2 linked regions of the Nothobranchius furzeri genome follow. The protein of the gene in region 1 binds, or shares a complex with, the protein of each later gene. Links are inferred from orthologs where the notes say so. Each region holds a gene or a part of one and is shown on either strand. Other genes may lie near its edges. The genes, in order: kat6a and brpf1.

Evidence for each region.
Region 2: kat6a (region 1) and brpf1 share a complex: the UniProt entries of both Homo sapiens proteins name them as parts of the MOZ/MORF complex. The link is inferred for Nothobranchius furzeri from reciprocal best matches to the Homo sapiens genes KAT6A and BRPF1.

What each region holds. Positions count from the first base shown.
Region 1 is NC_091757.1:30,182,591-30,185,775, reverse strand, and holds the end of kat6a (histone acetyltransferase KAT6A), read left to right. Parts: coding exon 1-2,342; 3' UTR 2,343-2,568; downstream 2,569-3,185. UniProt on the Homo sapiens protein: Histone acetyltransferase that acetylates lysine residues in histone H3 and histone H4 (in vitro). Component of the MOZ/MORF complex which has a histone H3 acetyltransferase activity. May act as a transcriptional coactivator for RUNX1 and RUNX2.
Region 2 is NC_091755.1:57,355,798-57,360,355, forward strand, and holds the start of brpf1 (peregrin), read left to right. Parts: upstream 1-1,534; 5' UTR 1,535-1,709; intron 1,710-3,062; 5' UTR 3,063-3,107; coding exon 3,108-3,844; intron 3,845-4,000; coding exon 4,001-4,190; intron 4,191-4,277; coding exon 4,278-4,558. UniProt on the Homo sapiens protein: Scaffold subunit of various histone acetyltransferase (HAT) complexes, such as the MOZ/MORF and HBO1 complexes, which have a histone H3 acetyltransferase activity.

The sequences.
Region 1 (3,185 bases):
TTAAAGAAGAACCCCAAGGTGGAGAGGCTTTTTTAGACATGGAGAACAGCGTGGCCCAGGACTACGTCAGCAAACAGGAAGAGCTAGAAGAGGAGGAGGAGGAGGCTGAGGAGGCCAAGTGTCAGCCCCCTGCTGCTGACCCTCAGCAGGAGGAGAGGAGACGCAGAGAGCAGGAGGAGTCTGCTGCAGCAGCTGCAGCAGTGGAAACTGTCACGGCCATGTCTGTTCCTTCAGAACCCATGCAGCTGCAGCCTCTACACCCAGACGACAAAGATGTCACCATGTTGATGGAGCCCCAACGCCCACAACCACACTCCCACCCTCATCCGCACTCAGACTTCAAGGAGGAGCTGGGACACCATCACCCACATCACCAACATCAGCACTCCAACGAGCTGGACCTGGAGACCATGCAGGCGGTCCAGTCCCTGACGCAGGGGGAAGCCCAGGACGAAGAGGCTGAGCCGCAGCCGCATCACGGCGCTTACCAAGACTGCGAGGAAACCTTGGCTGCCTGCCGCACCCTGCAGAGCTACAGCCATGCAGGAGAGCCAGAAGAGGAGGCGCTCGCTTTAGCGGAGGAGTGTGGCACTGCGCAACACAGCAGCCCCCTCCCTAACGCCCCAGTGCCACCTCTGCCCAGTCAGTCTGTGCACTCCGCTAACAGCCCCGGGATGTCCTCTGGCATTGTGGACGCAACATCAGCAGGACAGAGAGGAGGAACGCCTGGTCCCACAGCATCAGGGGGAGCCAGCAGCACTGCCAGCAGTGGTTACACCCAGATCACACCAGAGCATCCCAGTTCCCTGTCTGCCCCCTCCCAGCAGAACATGGAGACGTCTCCCATGATGGATGTGCCGTCTGTGCCTGACCACTCTCAGCAGGTTGTGGACAGCGGCTTCAGCGACCTCGGCAGCATCGAAAGCACGACAGAAAACTACGACAACCCCAGCAGCTACGACTCCACCATGGGTGGTGGAGGCAACGGAACAGGAAATGGGGGTAATGGAGGAGGGATGTCGGCTGCTGTGGGAGCTCCAGCTCCCACGGCTTCGTCTTCATCGTCCTCTTCCTCCACCTCAGCCACCCCATCCTCTTCCTCTCAGACCAACAGCTGCTCCTTTGTCCAAACTCCCAGCCTCACATCTTCAGCAGGAAACGGGGGTTCCCAGCTGGCCATGGGCAGCTGTAGTCTCATTCAGCAAACAGGACCAGGGCCCAACGGGGGCCCAGCTTCTGGTAATGTGGGCAGTGCTGTGCCCCAGCCTCCACCACCCCCTCCACCCTCCAACACTCCCAGCTGTGGCATCAAGTCCCCTCAGAGCTGCAGCGTCATCGAGAGGCCCCCCAGCACCAACCAGCAGCCGCAGCCACAGTCCCAGAAGAAAGTTCCTCAGCAGCAACAAGCCCCCAACCCTCAGCCCCCACCCACCGCCCCACCACCCCCACAGCAACAGGCTTTGTCCCAGTGCAGCATGGGTAATGGCTTTGCATCCACACCCATGATCATGGAGATGACGGAAAGCGGTAGTGGAGGAGGGGGACGCACCCTCTACGAGCGTATGGGTCAGGACTTTGGTACCACAGGCTACCCCCAGTCCACCGCAACATTCAGCTTGGCCAAACTCCAACAGCTGACCAACACCATCATGGACCCTCATGCCATGCCCTACTCCCACTCTGCCTCCGTGACCTCCTACGCCACCAGCGTTTCCCTGTCCAACCCCGGGCTTGCCCCCTCCCCTCACGCATCTCTTCCTCAGGGCCAGCCAGCTATGACTGGACCTCCTAACCTTAGCTCTGGCTCTATGAACCTTGGTTCGCTGCAGCTGCAGTGCAACATGCCAGCCACCAACATCAGTTTGGGTCCCCCCCACACGCAGCGGCTGCAGACCCAGATGGCTACGGTCAAAGGTCACATCTCCAATCGGTCCAAAGCCACTCAGCAGCTGGCCCCGCACCAGCAGCAGCTCTACGGCCGCAGCTCAGGGGTCGTGGCCATGCAGGGCACGCCGCGCACCTTGACAGTGCAGCGCGGTATGATGCCAAACCTCATGCCCACGCCGGCACCCTACAATTCCATGAACATGACACCTCTGAACGCCATGTCGGCCAGCTACCGGATGCCCCAAACCATGATGAACAGTGGCTATCACAGCAACCCCGCTTACATGAACCAGCCAGCTCAGTATCCCATGCAGATGCAGATGGGCATGATGGGAGGCCAGGGTTATGCCCAACAGGCTATGCAGCCCAATCACCATAGCAACATGATGTACACTGGCCCCTCCCATCACAGCTACGCTGGAGTCCCAAAACAGTCCCCGTACATGAGCAGATGAGCTGGCAGGAGCCGATGTAGGAGACGTGGAGCCAGAGTTAACCCTCGCTGTATTTTAAATGTCCGGTACTCCTCCTACCTCGTCCAGTGCCTAGGCGGGCACCAGGGAGCGTAGGTAAACGGAGATGGAGCGTGTTTGGGTTTCCTGTTTCTCTGTGCAGTAATCATGTCCTGTTTTTATCTGGACTTGCTTCTCCCTCCCCCCTCCAGCTGGCTGTGGTTGGGTTGGGTTGGGTTGGATCCCTACATGGACCCCAGCTGGGCATCAGTCTTCACACTGCTGTAGGAGGTTTCTCCTCTTCACACAGTGGTGGAGAATGGGAGGACATGAATGACCAGGAAAAAACAACTCAAGAAAACCGATCCAGGGAATACCGTGCACTCAGACTGGAACAGAAAATCTGTCTGAATATATCCAACCATGCACACAATCTTTTAACTGATATAGGAAGCCTTATCTTGGAAGAAGAGACGATGAACAGCGTAGCCGGACTGACGTTTCCTTAAACATAATGTTGAATCTTTTTTTTTTTGTTGTCCTTGTTTTTGTTGACTGTTGGTTATTTTTAATACTTGTGTGCAGTCCGACCCTTCCTATGCTTCGGTCTTTATATGTGTGGCATTCTGATAATGGCAATACACCTTCCTGCTCTCAGAATAACCCCCGAGCGTTTGTGAGGCTGCTGGGTCGGACAGCTTTTCACTTATTCCAGACGAGTGTGGGAGCAGGGACTCGTGCTGCGGAGTTGGTGTTGAGCGCTTTCCGGAGTCTCCGTCTTCCCACACGGACAGTGTTGTACCAGAAACACAGGAAGACACAGAAGAGACTAGTGTTACTATTATA
Region 2 (4,558 bases), on another chromosome or scaffold:
TAATGCTGCACTTTACCAAGGTATTACAGTTGTGCATTTTGTTCCCATATGATGGTACAAAATACTAGTTTTCAATGTAGCAAAGAAGTGTTATTGCCTTGCTACAAGATGTGTTGATTATTTTATGAGCTGTTTGTGACGATAGCCTAACCTGTTTTATTTTGCATTTATTTTCAACATTGTATTGTGAAATTAACATGAAACTTGATGTGGGAGATTTGCACAACATATTGTCTCCATTTATTCTGTTGGGAGTTCCTTCACTGTATATAACAGGTTTCACCAAACTGTACTTTTTACCACTGACAAGCATGGCCAATATTTTCATGATCCGCAAAGCATAGGAACAGGAAAAGTGTTAAAAGTTTCAAGATCTCACATCTTCACCACACAAATGATTTCAGCATCCCAGTCCTGCCAAAGCTGTGACCTGTATAGCTTGTAGTATTTGTACATTTTATTTTGACTGTTGGAAGATAGCATTTGTGGAGCCGAGGTCACTTTATTGTATATTATTCCATCAATTCGGTTTGAATTGGACTTTTATAGGATATTATGCAGAGTCTTCTGCTTTGGTGAAATATTTCCAATTGTAAGAGATTTCTGTTCTCTGTAACTTGTATCTGGTATGTTCCACTTTTCCTAGCTGCTAACTGGTTGGAGAGCAGAGGAGGAAATGATGAATACAGGCATATTCATTTGGATGTAGTGATCATACGGAGAGCTGTAATGAGCGGAGGAGGAGCATTTCTGACACTGTTCCTCTGCACACCTCACTCCTTTTTGGAAATCATTGTCCTTATGATTATGCTCTGATTATCTTTGGCTGGTATTTAAACTGTGTGGGTTGCTTTTGCCTGCTTACCCCACTTTGTCCTGCTGCATTCTTATCACAAACTGTATGTTGAGAGAGAGAAATAAATATTTTGTGCTTGATGGTTTTGATTAATTATTGTGTGCACACCATTAGTGTAGCTGTTAGTCAATGCTGTTATAATTTGACAGCAGGAAGTCGTATCTTATTTACCTCTTCGCAGTTTTGATTTCATTGAATAAAACGATTTACACACTTTTTATTTTAAGTAAAGTTTAAACAATAAATTTCTGAGTAAAGGAAGATGATCATCTTTGATGGACAGACTCGTATACAGAATGATACTGGACCAAATTTGGAGTTTAATTTGTAACATTAACTACAACTTGTGTAAGAAAAGACAAATTAAAACTGAAAATTAGAGCCTGTGAATTACTTTCACCAAATCACTAATGAAGTGTAGGCAGACCAGAGAAGCCCTTAGGTTGGATGGTGATTTTGTGGAGCCGCCCACTCTACTTCTAACAACCAATCACGTAGCGTATTCAAATCCAAGCACCAATCAGAGCAGAGAGTTCAGCCCACTGCGTCCCTCCGTCTGATCCAATCTAAAAGCAGTCAAGCAAGCCTGTTTTGCGTGGCGAATGTGTCAATCCGCCTCCACGGCTAAGCGTTACAGTAATGGTTGCCCCTTTTGTTCAGCCGATTTACTAAATTATTCCCCACACAATGAAATTATATGGACGCGAAATTGTTCCATGAAAACGTTTCAATGTACCTATGCTTTCCGTGGCCTCATCTGGGACTATCTAATGAATTAAAATCGATCTGCAAGCCGTCTGAGCTGCTGTCTGAGGTGTCCGATGCGCGCAGTTTGCTTGAGGAACGTGCAGTAGTAAGTGTTTATAACGTTAGTAGCCGGGATATGTAGTGCTATTTACTAAATGGTTGCATTTGCGCATATATTGACATTCGGGAAATGTGAGAAGACACGATTCTGTGGTTGTTGTAATCCACCATAATAGCCCAATGTGTCCAGAAAACAAAGTGACGTTGGTGCAAAATAAGCGCTACAAAAACAAATAGCTGTATAGTGGTGACCTAACGTAAATGGTTCTTAGTTAAATTTGGTCAAAAATACCGTTTTCCTGTGGCAAAGCCTATAAAATAATAATGTTACGCTCTTATTTTGCTACCTTGTGTATGGAATCCACAGGGTGAGGTCAATATGGAGGGAAACGCTGGCTCTGAATAATTAATCAAACTGCAGTCTTTCTAACTTAAAAACATTAATTGGGTCATTTTATTTTCATATCAGTTGTATCAAAATGCGTTGTAGCGCTAACATAACATCTGCCTTTGTTTAGCTAACATTTGAGCACAGCTATAGTTCAACATTATCAACAAAATGGTACACCGGGTTAATATTATTACGGATAAAAGAATCCTCGATAAGAAAAATAATGTTTTGTGGCCTCGTGTTTGTGGAAACCTTGTTATTTGTGCTGTGTAGTTTGAAAAGGGACCAAATGTTGTTTACTAGCAGTTGTTAGCATGCTAGCTAATTGCGCCAGCTACAGTCATTGTTTGGGGGAAGCATGCTAACGTTAGCTGAACTAAAAGCATTATGTTTGAAGAGTTCCCTGCTAGCTAGCTATCATATATCCCTCTCTCTCCCTCTGTCTATTTCTACATTTGCAGTCTTATTTGTTTTATTCGATTACTCCAAACATGACAGAAATTCGTTAGGATGTTGTCTTAAAGTGCACCTGTTAGTGGGTTCATATATTTCCCTCTGGGAATTGTGTTCACATTTTATCCATTTACAGAAATATCCCAACAGCACTGTAGGGACACGTTATTACAAGTTACATGCGTGGAGCAATGCCATTCAAACAAAACTGATCTTACATGAAATTATCGTTAAATACTGTGGGTCATTATTGCATGGAACTATTTAGATTAAAATATTTTCTGTTGTGCTTGTTTTATTTTGTCTAGTGTAAAACCCTTTCCCATAAGTGATTTTTACTCACATTTGTCTCTTCAGCCTGGCAGAGTGAATATTACATTTTTCTCCAAAAGATTTAGTAGAATGAAGAGTTTAAATGCATGTATTTAATACGCAAGTAATTAAATTGTGTAAAAGCAGATAACTACTCTCAGAACTCTTAAGTAATTTTGTAGTTTAAACCCACAGCTTTTAATTTCTTGTCTCCTCATTGTTCCCACTTGTGTTCTATTCCAGATGTAAAGTTAAACCACACCTGGCCCTGAAGAGGCTGCTGGCGAGATGGGACTAGATTTTGATGTGAAGACATTCTGTCACAATCTGCGAGCCACCAAGCCGCCGTATGAGTGCCCTGTGGAGACTTGCCGGAAAGTCTACAGGAGCTTCAGTGGCATTGAGTATCACCTGTACCATTACGACCACGACAATCCAACCCCTGCTCAGGCCATGCCCCAGAAGAAGAGAAAAGGACGGCCTCCTCGTGCCTCCCTGGCTGGCTCAGGGGATACGGATGATGGTGGCGGCAATGGAGGACCTGGTCTTGAAGGGACCACGCCAGGTAGCCCCAACCGGTCAGAGCACTCCCAGTCCCCTGGAAGAGATGCCATGACCTATGCCCAGACGCAGCGCATGGTGGAACTAGAAATCCAGGGACGCATTCACCGCATTAACATCTTTGACGACATTGATGTGGTTTCAGAGGAAGACAGTGATGCAGAGGATGCACCACCGTCGGGAACTGGTAGCTGTGGGGGAGGGGTGTGTAACGGTAGTGACAGTGGAGCCGGAGGCAGCGAAATAGGAGGAAGCGGTAAAGACCGTTCAGAAATTCCGTCCTCAAATGGTGGAAAGGCCACCCCAAAGACTGGGAAGCACAAGAGTAAAGATAAGAAGAAGGATGGTTTATCTCACCATCACAACCCTCAATCTGGTCTTGCAGTCAAGCTCCCAGAAGCCGTGTTCAGAGAGCTGGACCAAGAGAGGCCCGATGCCCCACCCCGGCCTTTATCCTACTACAGGTTTAGGACTAAAATGATTATTTCATTTTATACTTGTTGTTTTGTTTACTTATATGAAAAAGTTCTGTAATATTGTCTTTCTACTGTGTTTTATTAGAAAGCTTCACTTCTCTATTTGACTCCTTTGTCTTTTTGTTATGTAAACTTGGACTTCAGGTATATTGAGAAGTCTGTGGAGGAGCTGGATGAAGAGGTGGAGTATGACATGGATGAGGAGGACTACATCTGGCTCGGCATCATGAATGACAAACGGCGACGTGACAGCGTGACGCCCATCCCTCAGGAGGTCTTTGAATACCTCATGGACCGCTTAGAGAAGGAGTCCTACTTTGAGAGCCACAACAAGGTACCTGTACTTATCTGTAGGGGCAAGAATAGTTCACTCACTGTAACGTAGCTGTTGACTGATGCATTCTGTTACTCCTCCCCTCAGGCAGACCCTAGCACCTTGATTGACGAGGACGCCGTCTGCTGCATCTGTAATGACGGCGAATGCCAGAATAGCAATGTAATTCTGTTTTGTGACATGTGTAACTTGGCCGTGCACCAAGAGTGCTACGGGGTGCCCTACATCCCAGAGGGTCAGTGGTTGTGTCGGCGCTGCCTTCAGTCACCCAGCAGAGCTGTGGACTGTGCTCTGTGTCCTAACAAAGGAGGAGCTTTCAAACAGACAGACGATGGACGCTGGGCTCATGTAGTGTGTGCCCTCTGGAT